Bombyx mori: one gene and its partner. The protein of the gene in region 1 purifies or fractionates together with the protein of each later gene. This does not show direct contact. Links are inferred from orthologs where the notes say so. Each region holds a gene or a part of one and is shown in the gene's direction. Other genes may lie near its edges.

Evidence for each region. The genes of interacting proteins can lie anywhere in the genome.
Region 2: the proteins of drebrin-like protein B (region 1) and neuralized-like protein 4 purify together in Homo sapiens (co-immunoprecipitation; 4 studies listed by BioGRID and IntAct, counting the BioPlex papers as one, with this or other methods). This does not show direct contact. The link is inferred for Bombyx mori from reciprocal best matches to the Homo sapiens genes DBNL and NEURL4.

What each region holds. Positions count from the first base shown.
Region 1 is NC_085117.1:15,761,773-15,770,173, reverse strand, and holds the start of drebrin-like protein B, read left to right. Parts: upstream 1-3,602; 5' UTR 3,603-3,739; coding exon 3,740-3,822; intron 3,823-4,122; coding exon 4,123-4,294; intron 4,295-5,375; coding exon 5,376-5,613; intron 5,614-5,901; coding exon 5,902-5,999; intron 6,000-6,523; coding exon 6,524-6,603; intron 6,604-8,075; coding exon 8,076-8,234; intron 8,235-8,401. Other genes in the region: uncharacterized protein LOC110386383, read right to left, coding at 240-345; ciliary microtubule inner protein 2B, read right to left, coding at 2,112-2,182. UniProt on the Homo sapiens protein: Adapter protein that binds F-actin and DNM1, and thereby plays a role in receptor-mediated endocytosis.
Region 2 is NC_085107.1:10,080,135-10,088,220, forward strand, and holds the start of neuralized-like protein 4, read left to right. Parts: upstream 1-2,712; 5' UTR 2,713-2,940; intron 2,941-3,058; 5' UTR 3,059-3,063; coding exon 3,064-3,216; intron 3,217-3,906; coding exon 3,907-4,008; intron 4,009-4,256; coding exon 4,257-4,370; intron 4,371-4,503; coding exon 4,504-4,665; intron 4,666-4,904; coding exon 4,905-5,040; intron 5,041-5,119; coding exon 5,120-5,183; intron 5,184-5,544; coding exon 5,545-5,677; intron 5,678-6,661; coding exon 6,662-6,817; intron 6,818-7,325; coding exon 7,326-7,466; intron 7,467-7,555; coding exon 7,556-7,643; intron 7,644-8,000; coding exon 8,001-8,086. UniProt on the Homo sapiens protein: Promotes CCP110 ubiquitination and proteasome-dependent degradation. By counteracting accumulation of CP110, maintains normal centriolar homeostasis and preventing formation of ectopic microtubular organizing centers.

The sequences.
Region 1 (8,401 bases):
GATTACCTTATGCAACAATACGTAAAAGTAACTATAATTTGACAATCACGGGATTTGAACACGTAGACAGAGAGGTTTTACCCCAATAATTCCCAAAAATTAAGACGATTAGAGTAGATGACCATTCAAGGATTAATTTCCTTAAAAATTATCGAAGTTAAATTAATTTCAGGTGACTTCTTTTTATAAATACTTTATATAACAATACTCCTTTCGTTATTTTATAGTAAATTACTTACTATTATTGTACAATTTTATGATGTTATCATGATCTTCTTCAAGTGCCATCTGATAATGAAGGTCGGCGGACATTGATGCTATTTGGATAATAAATGCTTTAAACATATTTTTCCAAAATATTGATGCAGGTTTGTCGGCCACAATATTCTCCTTCTCCCTATGGTCCAAATTTTTATAGCAAGGTCTTGGATTACCAACTATATCAGCTTTTATTTAGGATTTTTCATTGTGCCCTAATTACTACAATTTTCGACGCTTATGCAGAGTAATTCATATATTAAACGTCGTAATACTTTCTTATTCGTGACCATGATTTTTTGGCATCCGTGTTGAAACCAGTGTGATGGACATAATATAATATTCGCAAAAGAATAATCTCTGAGTTTTTGTCGGTTCTTAGCGATTGAAAAACTGCTTAGGTACCAAATAAGTCGTTAAACGTTACAAAAGCTTTTTGGAATATATTTTTAATTTTATTGTAATACTATGTAGAATATTTAATCAAAATAATAACATAAGTTTACACGACTTAATACATTTTATATTAATTTAGCATCCATTTACGTAACCATAGCAACGTACAGCGAAGGGCGGCGCTTAATCACTACCTAAGGCTTTGTAAAATTTCAATAGGTAGTCCAAGGATGTTTACATTGAAACACGGCCTGTGTTTTACTACAAAGTTTAATGGTAAACATTTTCTCAAAACAACAAATTCGGCATTGAAAATTCTGTGAAGCCTCAACGGTGTTTCTTTGAAATTGTATTGTTTCAATCATAATTGCTACATACCCTGTTTTAAGTTAATTATAAACTTTCGTTGTTTTTGTTTTATATATAACATAAACTTTTTTGTAGTCGATATATTGTGAAAATATCCAATGTACTTTGCAAACAGCGATAGCTGAAGGAAAACACAAAGAATAATAAAAGGAAAACATGATAATTTGATTGTTCTCTTGCTTGTTTTAGTATACACATATCAACAACTTTTACGGTTTTGATTTCGAATTTTTACTACCCATTTCATTTTTATTTTATTTTATTTTACTATCATTATAATATTTCTGACATACTTCACACATTTCGTGGAAATAAACGAAAAAGATGTTGTTATATTCATCGACACTTGACTATTGTACTAATCGACGTGTATTGATCTATCAAAATAAAAAAAATATTTATTATGGCTATTTCAAATAATATAAAAACAATAAGGTGGCCGCTATCCTAAAGGAATTGTTTTTTTTGTATGTGTGTTGGGCTTGGACAGATAATAATATATTGTAAAATAATATAATACCTATACTCTATAAGCTCTGGTAACAAGTCAACATCAAGTGCGCTGGAAACGCGTCTACCCACCCATCTATACAAATAAAAAGTATTTGTCCTCAGGAAGTATTTTACACGACCTACATAGCACATTTACTAAATTTCTTCTGCAAAAACCTTTCACACTCACGAAACTACGCTAGTAATAATATATGTAATAATTATAATGTAAACTCAAATTTAAAACTCTATGAATCCAAATCTAAAAAAAAGCTTTGCCCGCAATCAAACACAAAACAACTTTCAACAATTCGAGAATTAACCGATACAATACTCTTACAATGCGTAAAATAGAAAGTTAAGTGAGACGTTGAAAAGTTTTAAAAATACTGGTGTCTAGATAGAGATTTATTTTTAACTATTTAGGTACCGTATTATTTATTTATTTTTAGTGTTCACACTATGCACTAAAGGAACAATAATAAAATTCTTAATATTTGTTAATGTTAAATGTTTATTTAATTATTTTGTGTCGTATTAATCTTTTCCAAACAAAAGTATATATAACTTTCTAATGAAGTTTTTTTTCCACTCACCCCGGTATAAAACATCCATTTGTCTGCGTCATGTAGTTGTGCTTTTCGCGCCCACTCACATCTACCCACATGTTAGTATAAACTTGTTTTGAAACATTAATGGTAGAGGCTCATTTTTCACTGCGTCGCGCCAGTCGGTTCACTACGAGACTGACTGAGTGCTATGAATGAAAGTTCTTTTACTATTGTACATGAGAGAAAATTAGAACGATAGATTGCGCGCGCAACATTTTAATGAAAACAGTAGGAAAAATAAATCATTCTAATTGGAATCTTTTATGAACACCTACCCTATTAATCTGTGGTCAATTTTAAAAGCTTACTGGAAATAAATTATGTATGAAATATAGCAGTAGGTAATTTCAGATTGTACATAGTATGTAAAATTTTAAATTGGTTAAGGAACACCAAAATAATTATGTAGATAATTAATATATATTTTTTTTATTTTAGTATCACGCGAAATATTTATATTCTCTAAGCTATACTAAAAAAGTTTACTTTTTTTTTTCACGCTTAAGCCATATCAAATTAATACTGTGTGCTCGATGATCGATTTTAAGATCTTTACATATCCCTGAGCATCAAGGTTTAATATTTAGTTTTATTCTTCAAATTTTGAAGTAAAACCTAATTACTTGCATGAAATTTGTTTTAATTAATATCACTAAAATCGGCAATATTCAATAAACATAAACAAAGAAAATTGGTTGACAAATATAACCAAAAATGGTATTTAAATATTTTTGCTTGAATATTTATCATCTTCATAATCTAAAATTATATTTTTGGATATTTGATAAGATAACAGAACATCGTTTCTATTAAAATAGTGGTAATTTTTTTTATTTGGTTATTTGATGTGTTGCTAATGTACAGATAATCCTTATTGTTATTAATTTAAAGCTTACACCCGTAAAATGACGATGGGCGTGTAATATTATATTATTTCGCTCACGCACATCGATCCGGAGTTTCACTTAATGAGACCCACAGTTCTGACTTCAATATTCATTCACCATAAATTTTAATTGTTATGGTGGGAAAATGACTTCACATTCCACCTGATGCTATACAGATATTGGAGCTCATAGACACTACAACGTGAATACCGTTGGATACATCAATAAGATTAGTCTGATTTCTTTTTAGGTATTGTGACACTGTAATTTACTCTCTGCATGGTAAAATGGCAAATGGTACCCACTCATCATTTAGGTTTGAAGGGTAGAATATCAATATTGATCAATATCGACTGTACGCCTCAAGCGACAGTTACGTTGTCTATGGATTTCAGTAATCACTTAACATTAGATAGGTCGCTAACTCTTATCTCGTCTCTTTATTCTATCTACACATACACATAGCATTTAGTCGAAGGTCTACAATTCAAGTTAATTTAGTTCGGTGTTTTTTTTAAACTGCTGACCCACCAATTCCTTAGTGTCAATCGTCTGGTCAATAAAAATAATGTCAGTGTATTGTCAAATTATGTCAAAATTTAAATGTCAATGACATTTCAGCAGTTTTGTGAGTCAGGCCAGATACGAAAGGCACGGAATTTATAATTGTTGAAATAGGCATTTTTGAAGTAAAATATATTTCGATGCTTTTGGAAATAATGTAAAATGGCTATAAACCTAGATAAACATAAAGAAGCTTTAATCAGTGCGTGGAGAGATGTATTAGACGAAAAAACCGAAACGAACTGGTAAGTGTACATAAAATGAATGTGGTCTCGTCCTAATTGGTGAGGAAGTTAAAACATACGCTCATACGATTTAAGGAGCGAATTTCGAACATTAATTACCATGACCATTTATGAACTCACAGTGTAGATTGTCTTCTGACTGTGTAACTAACTGTACTACTAGTCACTGGAGTAAATTATTTTAAAATAATCATTTGCAGTCTAATAAACTTGTATAGTTTAGGTTTTTTGTATTGTATATGGAGGTTTCAAGAATCAAAACTTTAACATAAGAAACCTCATTTTTATATTTAATTCCAGGGCCTTGTATGGTTATGAAGGGCTCACAAATGATCTCAAGTTCGTCAGCAAAGGAGATGGAGGCTTGACTGAGTTGATTGATGACTTGAATAGTGGGAAAATACAATATGCATTCTTAAAAGTGGATGTACCAAATGGAAGCATATCTAAATATGTGCTTATCAACTGGCAGGTATAACTTTCCCATAGATAAGACATTAGATAAAGTACTTTGTCAATATGTTTATTCTCATATTATTTAAAATATTCTGTATACATATATATTATCTTAAATATTATTTAGAATAAACGAGGTTCAGTTTCAAAATCTGTTATAGAATTCCTAGAAGTTAGAAGAAAGATAGTTCTAGAATTTTATTATGACTTCAATGATATTTGAGCTTTCACCAAAATATATTTTAAGGTTATGCATTGAATTTGGAAGGCCTCAATTATTTACAAAATACATTTAGAGATAGTCAGAAGGAAAACTTAGGAAAAGTAGGCTTTAAAAATGGCCAAAATTGGGAAAAAGGCATGAAAATAAGGATACTGGAATTTAATATTTTCCAGCAAAGAGATACAATTAAAACAATTGCTAGAATCCTCTTTTTTATAAATTCAGTAAGAGTGGGGTTGTTGCTTGCATTCAAACTGCAGGATATTTGAAAAATAAAATTAAATGTATATATTACGTAAATATAATGTAATAGTGTGATATACAGGGAAAAAACATGTTAATATAACTTTATATTAACATATTTTTTCCTTTTTTATCTACCTAATCTTATACCAACCTACCTTATACCTAAAAAGGTGAATGGTCGATCTTGATAAATTGTTTTTATTTTATTTTTATTGCATAGATTGGTGATCAAGCTCACAGCCCATCTGGTGTTAAGTGGTTACTGAATCTCGTAGACATCTACAACGTACATGCGGCCACCCACCTTGAGATATGAGTTTTAAGGTCTCAGTATAGTTAAAATGGCTGCCTACCACCAGTAATTAAGCAAATTATAATTTTGCAGGTTTTATTTCTATTACACGATGTTATTCCTTCACTGTGGAAGTCAATTTTGAACATTTGTTAAGTATGTGTTTCATTAAAAAAATTGGTACCCGCCTGGGATTCGAACACCGGTGCATCGCTTAACACGAATGCACCGGAAGACTTATACTTTAGGCCACGACAACTTCAAAAACTCTATGAAAATCATTTAATTGTGTAAATCTTGTTAGTTATCTAATAGTTTTGCATGTTCATGTTCAAGGGTGAAGGTGCACCAACTGTTAGGAAAGGAACCTGTGCAAACCACATTAAACATGTGGCTAATTTCTTCACCGGTTTCCACTTGACCATGCACGCAAGAACCGAAGATGACTTAGACGAAAAGATAATCCTAGACAAACTGGCCAAAGCTGGTTCAGCATTTAATTTCAAGTCGAGTAGACCCGAGGAATTACCGCCAAGTGGACCAGTTGGGACTGCATATCAGAAAGTTAATCCGGGTAAGGGTATAAAAGACCAGAAATATCAATAAGATAATTCCATATTTTCACGTATAAAGTTTATCAACAGTAATTTATACCACCTGTTTATGGCAATGGCTTTGTTTAGCTTTCATAAGATTTCTTGATGCTGTAATAAATTACTGTTTAGTGATAAGACAGGATTTAATCAAAAATCTTGACCAAAGTTGGTTATATTGTTTACAGCTCGTACTGATACTGGATTACAATTGATTTAAAAAAATATGGTAAACTACATTTATTTTAATCAAATTTTGTTTTTTCTAGTAAAAGAAATCAATTCAAAAGAGAGAGACCAGTTTTGGCAGAAAGAAGAAATTGAAGAGAAGAAAAGAATAGAAGCAGAAAAGAAAAGGAAAGAGGAGGTTTGTTCACTATTTAAGTACTTTCTTGTCATTTTATAAAAAAAGAAAAGTCTTAATTGATATGTGTAACAATATACTGAATTGAACCCTTGCTGAATGTCCAAGTGAACTACGACGCGTTCCAAAAAATACCTTTTTAAAGATTCAGTTTGTACAATGGGGTGTGAGGGAGATCAAATAATGTATCCGAGACATGGCTTTATCTTTTCCATTTTTATTATTTCTTTGGATGGAAGACTTCCCTTGGACGTCAGTAGGCTGATCGAGTGGGAGAGAGAGAGAGAGAGAGAGAGAATTATTTATTTCGCGGAGGAGCTCAGGGCCCACTTAGTGTTAGAGGTTATTGGAGCTCATTGACAACACAATGCGAATTTCGCCACCCACGTTGGGTTCGTACTCTCAGTTGTATTTAAGGGCTCACCTGGAAACTAGAACGAATACCTTTTTTTGTTTTCGAAAGCGGTTCCTTACCTTCAATTATCACATGATTTTGGCCTTGAATATTATATTTATTAATTTAACAGGATAAAAGAAAAGCCGAGGAAATGGTCAGAAGAAGAGACGAGTTAGAAGCACAGAAAAGAGCGAAAGCCGAACACGACAAGTAAGTTTCGAAAAATTGCACGCAGACCTTAAAGTATGGATCAGCTTGTTGGACCACTAAAATGGCGGATGAAAGGCGATTGCATTCAGCAGATGCGAATGTTGCGATGGATGTGTGGAGTAACGAGAATGGATAGAACACGGAATGAATATGTTAGAGGAAGTCTGAAAGTGGCACCTGTGACAGATAAGCTGAGAAGTGCGCGTTTGGGATGGTATGGACATGTGATGAGATGAAATGAAAATGAGGTTGGTAAGAGCGTGTTAACTATGAATGTGGAAGGATATAGAGGAAGAGGTAGACCTAAGAAGAAATTGATGGATTGCGTGGAAGACGATATGTGTAAGTGGGGAGTGAGTGAAGAAATGGTATATGATAGATGATTATGGAAGGAGAAAACATGTTGCGCCGACGACAGGTGACTGGAGAAGGGCAGAAGAATGATATGACCTTAATGTATTTTTTGTTTATCAATGTCAATGGACAAACGTTTCTGTACATCTGATGTACAGTACCCGTCGATAAATATTGCACTTCGACTTCGTATTCATAGATCGTCATCTCTGTCGCACACTACCTATATGACGTCTGTCAGTCGTTGTTCAAGAGCGTTAGTTTACGGTGCTAATAGAAACCGGATAGTAGTGATTGGTGCGACAGAGATAACGCTCTACAAAACCGAAATTAACCGATTGTCTTTTTTCAAAGATAGTAAAGCTTATCGGCGAGTACTGTAGAGATTACCACAGACAGTTCGACGTCATTAACTTTGATAGTTAAATACGATAGCGTACTGCTACTATAAGTGAGGGGCTGAAAAATTAAGAGGCCATTGGTTATTTTTGAAAGGTATTTAAATCGTAGTTTTTTTTTTATTAGGCTTGCTGAAGAGCGAGAGATTATAAATGCAATTCTTACCCGCCTTATTTAACTGAGTTTATCGGTCACTAACTAGTTCTAAGAAACATTTGTGAACAGACTTCATATTACGTATGGTTGAACCTGCATAGTAAATAGTGAGACCTTTTGGCGGGAATGCGAGGAGTGAAGTTGTGTAATTTGTTTTATTTTGTCTATAACGTTTCTTTTAGTTTAAATGTGTAATAACGGTGGCTTATTAACTGTTTAATATCTGTGAAAGTGCACAAGTGTGGGAAAATGAAACAAAGCCGCTGGACGTAACTTCTCGGGATCCTCCAAAAATCCACTGAAAAAATCTCAGTAAATGACCACCATTTTACTGAGATTATATTATATTTCATCCCATATCATCTTATTTCATTTCGCTCCACATTATCATTTTTCATAAAAATAAGAATATAAATTAAAATAAGACATAACTTAAAGGTCTTAGTTACCAGGTCATAAAATCCCTTAAAAAAAGTTAATAGTGGTAGCTGAGAAAACAGACATCACGCAGTCTCTGGTAGTGGCCTAGTCACTCATGCGCGTTCTGGCTTGTTGTTAAGCAGAAGTCCAGTGGAAACTGTGAGTCCTACCGGGGTGAGTGCGAGCGAGGCGCTCCGGCGGCAACGGTCTGCGGAAGCGAGACAGCTGATCGGCTCCTCCACCGCTGCTGCACGAGCACTCTTCCAACAGAACTTGGCTCAAGGACAGATCAACACCTCAAGGTCACTACTATACAGTAACATCTATACTAATATTATAAAGAGGAAAGATTTGTTTTTTTGTATTGAATAGCCTCCGAAACTACTGAACCGATTTGAAAAATTCTTTCACTGTTTGGAAGCTACACTATTCCCGAGTGACATAGGCTATAATCTTTTTTGAAAAAAAT
Region 2 (8,086 bases), on another chromosome or scaffold:
CTCAGTGGGCTGTGTCTGAGGGTTAATTTACTCGTCGAGCCTTTCGTCGCAAGCGACGGGTTCTTTCATTAAAGACCAGCTTTAAGCAAGAGTTAAAGGAACCGAAAATGGTGTCAGGTAGGTATGATTGCGCTGCGTTTATTAATAAAAATCTAAAGCATAGTCCCCTTTACAAAAAGCAAACTCTATTGAAGCAGTATTCATTATAACTTTAATAAATAGATAAAAGTTTCCAATTTAATGTATAAACAATGCATACGGGCAGTGGGAAGTCCATATCACCTGGCCTTGCAAGTTGGGAGTCGGAATAAAAAATAGGTCGAGTCTATTTTATAGTTTGTCCGTGATAATATAAAACGAACAATGTTTGATAGAAGATAGACAACAGTGAAAATTTGTAAATCAATACGCCTTTACCGACCGCAAATAATTGTTTATTTGTAAAAAGAATATATGTACCTACTTCACAAATTATCTTTCGCAAATGAGCAGTCGAGTTAATGACACTTTTTTTGGCATGTAGGTACCTAATGGTTCCTGGTAACATGGAGACCATTCCATTTTACACATCGGAAGCGAAATAGTAAGCAAGTAGGTAAGTTTTTTTCAAATTCAAATATAAGACGTGCCCGTCTGAATTTTCTTTTTTAATAGGTACCACATTTTTGTGATGGGAACTGTTAAAATCAACTGCAGATTATTATTTTTTAATATTCTATATTCATTAAGTTTCAAATCGTGATAACCGGTCATAAAATCGGAACTAATCGATTTCTTAATTGATAAAACTTTAAAATCATAGTGATACTACTGAGTCAGGAATCGGATGGCGGTATATAGCGTCCTGCGGGAAATTCTAGTACAAAAGAGGCACTACCTGCGGCGGCTTGACTGATGGCTGACGTAGAGTCGTCGACTGTTGCTCCGACGACCCGTCGGTAGGGCGTTGTAGGGGTAGCACCGCGAGTCTGTTTCTAGTGTTGATCGAACTATTCCGTCTGGATTCTGACCCTGAGCGGAGATCGGATGTCAGATGAGAGAGTGTAAGGGGAGTCGTTTGGTGGGTAGGGCCTAGAAAATATTCTTGAGCCCGCGGTCTGCTCCCAACACCTACAGACCGTCAAGTCCCACATAACTTGCGTGGCCGCTAGGCGCGGACACCTTTTTTTTTTTATTGCTTTGATGTATAGACGAGCTTACAGCCCACCTGGTGTTAAGTGGTTACTGGAGCCCATAGACATCTACAACGTAAATGCGCCACCCACCTCGAGATATAAGTTCTAAGGTTTCAGTATAGTTACAATGGCAACCCCACCCTTCGAACCGAAACGCATTACTGCTTCACGGCGGAAATGGGCGGGGTGGTGGTACCTACCCGTGCGGACTCCCAAAGGTCCTACCAGGGGTAGGGTTCGGCCCCTGCCCGAAAAGAAAGGCGTTTAAGAATCTCGAATCTTCATGTTCCTGAAGTATAGAGTCTTGAGAAACTGAGCGTTGTATAACTTATGCCTCCCGTTGCCAATATGCACCAGTCACTGGTCGATCTCTATTCTTAAGTTGTGGGCACAGTTTTTCTAGACTATGTTTTGTAAGAAGTAGTTGGTAGTAGCAGGAATCTATACCAAAACTAACAATTAGAAGTATGTATTGCTTATAGCGTGCCCAAATGATGGTAGCTGTTGTTATAGCGAGAATGGTACACATACGATGCTAAACTTTTTATTCTCTTCAAAGGTGTTTAAAATATTAAATAAACATAGTGTATTATTGAGTAGGGATGACAATATCAATATATTCCGTCAATAAAAAAGTAACCATCACATTTAATTAATTTTTAGTGACAAAGATTCAGTCAGATTTTTACTTTTTGTTTTTACTAGATAAAACGAATGTTAATTAAAGATTAAATTTTTCAGGGGATTTTACTAAAGTTGTAAATTGTAGTATAATTGAAATATAGGAATTTGTAAAACAATGAATTTTAATAACATCTACGACCTCAATAATCCAAGTTTGTTTGCTTTGTAGTTACATTTAATTTAACATTGCCTAAAATTATGTTTACAATTTTTGAAATGGTTTGTAATTTTCATGTTGTCCTACACCTATCAAAGCTTGTAGAGTATTTTGTTTGAAAAAACAAAACGCTATATTGATCGACTCTTACACAGACTATACCATATTAAAATAGTAATGTAACTTACGAAATGTTTCAGCAATCGAATGAATTGGATTCGTCAAATTGAATAGAAATAATCACAAATAAAACTACTAGTTTCATTTTTTACCCCTAGCTTATCTCTGGTAGCCTAAGGGGCTATCCTAGCTACGCTCGGACTGGTACCGAAATTCACGGGCTCACCTTGAATGTCTGTTTATACTAGCCCCTAGCAAGAACAGTGCTTCATTAAATTTACCGCCGGATCGGATTCGCGAGTCACGGCCCAGAAAGTCTGGCGAGAAACTCAATGGATTAATAATTTCAATTTTAGGGTTTGAATTAAAGGGTGAAACTTTACTTGATTTCTTCGTAAACAATATGAAAAAATATTATAGTAGTGTTTACTATAGTATAATTCTCCGATAAGCATAATTGGAGAAAAATCTTTAACCCATTTTTAGTTCATGATTGCAATTCGAGCTAATTTTGATATCGATCTATTTTGTAACTCGGAATGGCAATTGCCTAGGCAATCACTATTCTGCAGACATTTAAAATTTATTGACAAGACCAATTTTAAAGAAAATATGATTTGCACTTAACCATTTAATTTTTTTTGCGGGGAAACTTAAATAATGAATTACTTTATACATTAATTACAAGCATGCTTGATTCGCGCAAAAGTATGTGTATGTTCGTAACAGTTTTCAATATAAAAAGTCCTATAATGTGTTTAAAAATAAATTCATAATGTCGATCACAAAAGGTGCTAGATGTAGGTAAATTTTTGAATTAAATAATACGAAAACATAATTGCATTGAACTTATTTTAACACTGCCATTGCCTACTGCAAGTCATTAATAATTTTACATAGCTGTGCTTTTCTTATTCCATAGAAAAAATGAAGTTCCACAGAAGGTGCGGCGACAGAGTTACACTGCTTAATGATAATTCAACAGCTATAAGAAATTTTGTAGAATTTAATCATGGTTTAATATTAAGTGCTGAACCGATTTCTGATGATGTTATGTTTGAAGTTTGCATCGATAGAAAGGTAAGCTGTGAGAACCGGGCAAATATATTTTATTTGTGGGCAAATAATTAGGAATCACTCACGGCAAATTCACTCTTGAATGACCAAGTACTTTAGCACAATCAATACTTTTTGCATATACTTTCTATTTGTAATATAATGCCCTATATTAACAGCAAAGAAGTATTTTAAATTCAACTATACTAAATATTTATTAGCAACAAATTATCTGACAACTGAGAGCATAACTAACTTCTTGAGAGTGTGTTAATGGATAGATGTTAAATAAAAACAAGCTAATAAAAATGCATTTTGGAGAATTTAAGAATATAGACTATGCATACATTGGTCCATCAGTGTGTATTATGTAAATTAACATTTTATTTAACAATAAAATATCATATTAGTTAAAATAAAGACAGTTAAGTACAAAAGTATATTGCTCATGTTTGCAAAAAAGTATCGGACTTGTTACAATTGTTGAGCCCTTGAACAGTCAGGTCTCTTTCGGAGGGGTTTTGTCAGCTGTTACTTAGCCTAGTAAAGCTCGTGCGTGCTATCCAGTCAGGGTAAAGCTGGAAATACCTTTGGGGCACCAGTTATTCTTCCATCATTAAAAAAAATCTTGAATTGAGCTATTTTTAATTAATTACCTACAAATATTAAATTACCTATATGTATCTTGATTATCTAAATTGAACATTGTCATAGGTGAACGTTTGGAATGGCAGCTTAGAAATAGGAGTCACTACTTTGGATCCAGAGTTTATGGAGCTTCCTGCCACTGCTACTAAACTTCGCAACACAGCATGGGTAATATAGAAAAATTAATAATTTGGTACTAATTACTAACACAACAAATAATATTTAAATTACTAATTACTAGTAGTTAAACTTAATAAATTTCATAATTTTCATGTCTTTTTTCAGACTAGACCATTTCCCTAGTCAAGTTAACATCTATTAAAATCAAATAGGTTAAACTATAAACATAATTAAAAGTTATATAAGTTAAACTATAAAAATAAAAAGGTTAAATGTCCATCGTATATTTTTAACAGATAATGTCAGGCAGCTCTATTGTGAAGGATGGTGTAACTCTTGTAAATTCTTATGGGCCCGAGCTTGACACTCTTCGAGAGGGTGATTGTTTAGGTGTTATGAGAACAAGCAAGGTATTAATTACTTACTTTTAAAAGAAAAATATTTCGACATACTAAACCAGTCTAAAAGTATCCAAATGTAATTTGAGTAATATAGCTTTCTATTTATACGAGAAAAAGTTTATAATGTGAATTTATGTTTTAGGCGGAATTAACATTTTATATCAATGGACGATGCCTTGGAGTTGCTGCCAAAGATTTGCCACCTAGGTTGTTTGCAGTAATTGATCTTTATGGTCAGTGTGTGCAAGTTTCTATATCACAAGTGAATGGACTAAGGACAGCAATGGAACTTTGTTTGGTTCAGGTATAAATTAACAGCTAAGATTGCTTCAATAAAAATATACTTGGAAAGAAAATTTTATGTGAAGCCACTTTGATTGTAATTAAATGTGGATAACTTTTTAATCTGTTAATTAAACATAAAATTATATTGTATTTGAAAATAAGGTTGATAATTGGAGGTCAAAAACTTTATTTATTCTTTAATTTAATATTTATACATTTATTTATTAAATTTGTTAATGTTTTGCCATACATATACAGGCTGAAGACGATCCCAACAATGATGATACATTAACATCTAGCGAAATAGATGTAGCTGGTCTTCCATCTGCTCCCTTCCCAAAAGAAACTCAAAATATTTATGTGCCCATGTCTTCTGAAGGAGCTTGTAGTTCTGGTTTGTTTTTGTTTGTAAATATTTACATTGTAAATAAAATGGATACAATATAGTCTAAACATATTGATTAAATTTACAGCTCAAGATCATTTGAGATTTCATCCAAGATGTGGAATTTTAGTGAAACTCTCTGGGAATAATAAGTGAGTAATATCTATTGTGATAATGACTGGAGTATATATTTATTTAATTTTTAATTAACATTGAAGACAGAGCAGCGTACCACCCATGTGGTTCTTAGTGATCACCATTGCTCATGTACATAAGACGGCATCAGTAGCCAAGCTGACTAATATGGAGGACCCTCCTTAAATCTCGTTTGAAGAAGGATATGTCCATAGCGCTCAAGATACACAGGAATTACTCTGCATGCTTTATGATGGTAAAAAATATATATTACAGGATCATTATACAATCACCACAGAGCACTTGCACATTGTACATACTAAACATATAAGCGAATTTTAAAATAAAAATTTTCATGGAGATTCTATTATATTTCAGGACAGCTGAGAGAGCCCGGCCATTGGATGATTATAATAACGGAGTTGTGATGACACATCGACCTCTTTATGACAACGAGCTTTTCGAAATACGTATAGATAGATTAGTTGATAAATGGAGTGGCAGTGTTGAGGTAATGAAATACAATGTCGTTGATGCAGTTGACCAAATTCAGTGTCGTCTGACCAGTATTTTGTAATGAAGTAATCTATATGAAGTAGACTCGTTGTGATGTACAATAGACAAATTTAATTTCACAGTACTTACATTAGGAGAAACATAGGCGGCGTTTAGCCTCCTTAAAATTTTACTCAAAACGGTATTGAAATTAAATTTACTGAATTCATAAATTAATATTTAAAACGTAAATTTTGATAAATATTAGAATTAATTACAAAAACACTAAACTCAATACTTTACAACAAATCTCTCACACAAGACGACATTTAACCATCATTTAGTATTATTTAGTTTAAGTATTAATATTTATAACTGCTCTATCATCACAATAGTATATATAATTGACACCATAAAACTACTGATGCCTTATTTATATGTAGTTTATTTTTATTAACTCGGTGTTCACAGTATTACATATAAGAACTCAAAAGATTAATCTAATTCTGCAGTTCACCGTACATTAAATTAGCATTATTCTTTTAAAATAAACAGATGGCTATTTTAATTTAGCGATAGTACAAGTGAAGGACATGTAGTTCAAATGAAGGAGACCAGAATGCCAAGACAACTACTATAATATAGTCTATAACTATAATATAATATAATATAGGCAAACCAGAGGGCCGCAGAAGGCCAGGCCCAAACTCCGATGGTTGTCTGGCCTAGAGCACGACCTCAAAGTTTTTTTTTTATTGCCTTTGTAGGCAGACGAGCGTACGGCCCACCTGATGGTAAGTGGTTACCGTCGCCCATGGACTTCAGCAATGCCGGGAGCAGAGCCAAGCCGCTGCCTACTACTATCGGTGTCAAGAACTGGAAGGAGAAAGCCTTGAGTCTGGAGAGACATACTGTACCAGGCTAAGGCCTACCCTGGGCTGTAAGGCCTAAGACGATGATGATAGTACAAGTGAGCTTTTAAAATTGTAATTGTTCGCAGGTGGGCGTTACCACGCATAACCCTGCAACAATTCGTTTTCCATCCACTATGACTAACATGGACTCTGGTACGATAATGATGTCTGGATGCAAAGTGCTTTTGAACGGACACGGCACTTGCATGGAATACGGGAATTTTAATCTGGATGAATTGAGGGTTTGTCTTCATTCTTCTTTTTTATTTTTTGACTCCGGCACGGTTTGGCATTAGCCAATGTCAAGTAATAAGATTTTTATAATTCGCCGTTTTAATTATTTACAGTTTATGAATAATAAAAAATGAAGGAAACCCAGATTAATCAACTGACATGAAGTTAAATGAAATGAGATGAGATGATATGGGGTGAAATATAATCTCAGTAAAATGGTGGTTATTTACTGAGACTTTTTCAATGGACTTTTTGGAGGATCCCGAGAAGCTACGTCCAGCGAGTTTATTTCATTTTCCCACATTTGTGCACTTTCACAGATATTAAACCGTTAATAAACCACCGTTATTACACATTTAAACATGAAGAAACACTTAATAGACAAAATAAAACAATTCACACAACTTCACTTTTCGCGTTACCGCCAAAAAGTCCCTTGTCTTCATTCGCGTATAAGAAAATGTACCTAGTCTAAATTAATAATGTAGTACCGGCTCTAAATTTTTTTCTGTTTAGGAAGCGGAAACGGTCGGTCTGTTGCGGAAAAGCAATGGTGAATTGCATTATTTTATAAATGGTGTCGATCAAGGTGTGGCCACAGATAAAGTGGAGCCGCAAGTATGGGGCGTCGTCGATTTGTATGGAATGACTGTTAAAGTAAGTCTAATGCAATTATTCTTGCCGGCTTCTGTGTTGAAACTATTTAGAATAAGCATTAAAATAGAATATTTTGATTCTTAATGCAGGTTTCAATAGTGGATCCGTGTGAAGATATGGATAGTAATATCCAACACATTCCACAACCAATGAATGCTATCGACATCGCCGAACCAAGTAAGATTTGCTTTTAGTCAGTATTCAACAGTAACTATGTGTTTACAAAAATATCAGTTCTAAAATGCAACAAATCTATGATGTAAGACTACTTTCAAAAGCATCAAGTCTGTGATTTTAGTATAAAACGAATTATAGGTTTAAATCTAAACCGTCAAAATAAATTTGAAAGTAAATTCTTTATTAATAAGATAATTCAATGTTGTATATTTAAATGTAACTAATATATATTTTAATGAAGAGCTCCCTTAACTTGTAATTACTTAAAATTTTCGTACATTCCTTAAAATGATATATTTTTAATTGAATTGTAATTATTTGTGATTTTTCGTATATAACATTACTTCGAAATTACAGGACGATTTAGACCAGCTATAGACGAAGATAGCCTTTTATTTCATACGCTGCGTGATTCGAATGTTATTATTATTAACGATGGTAAG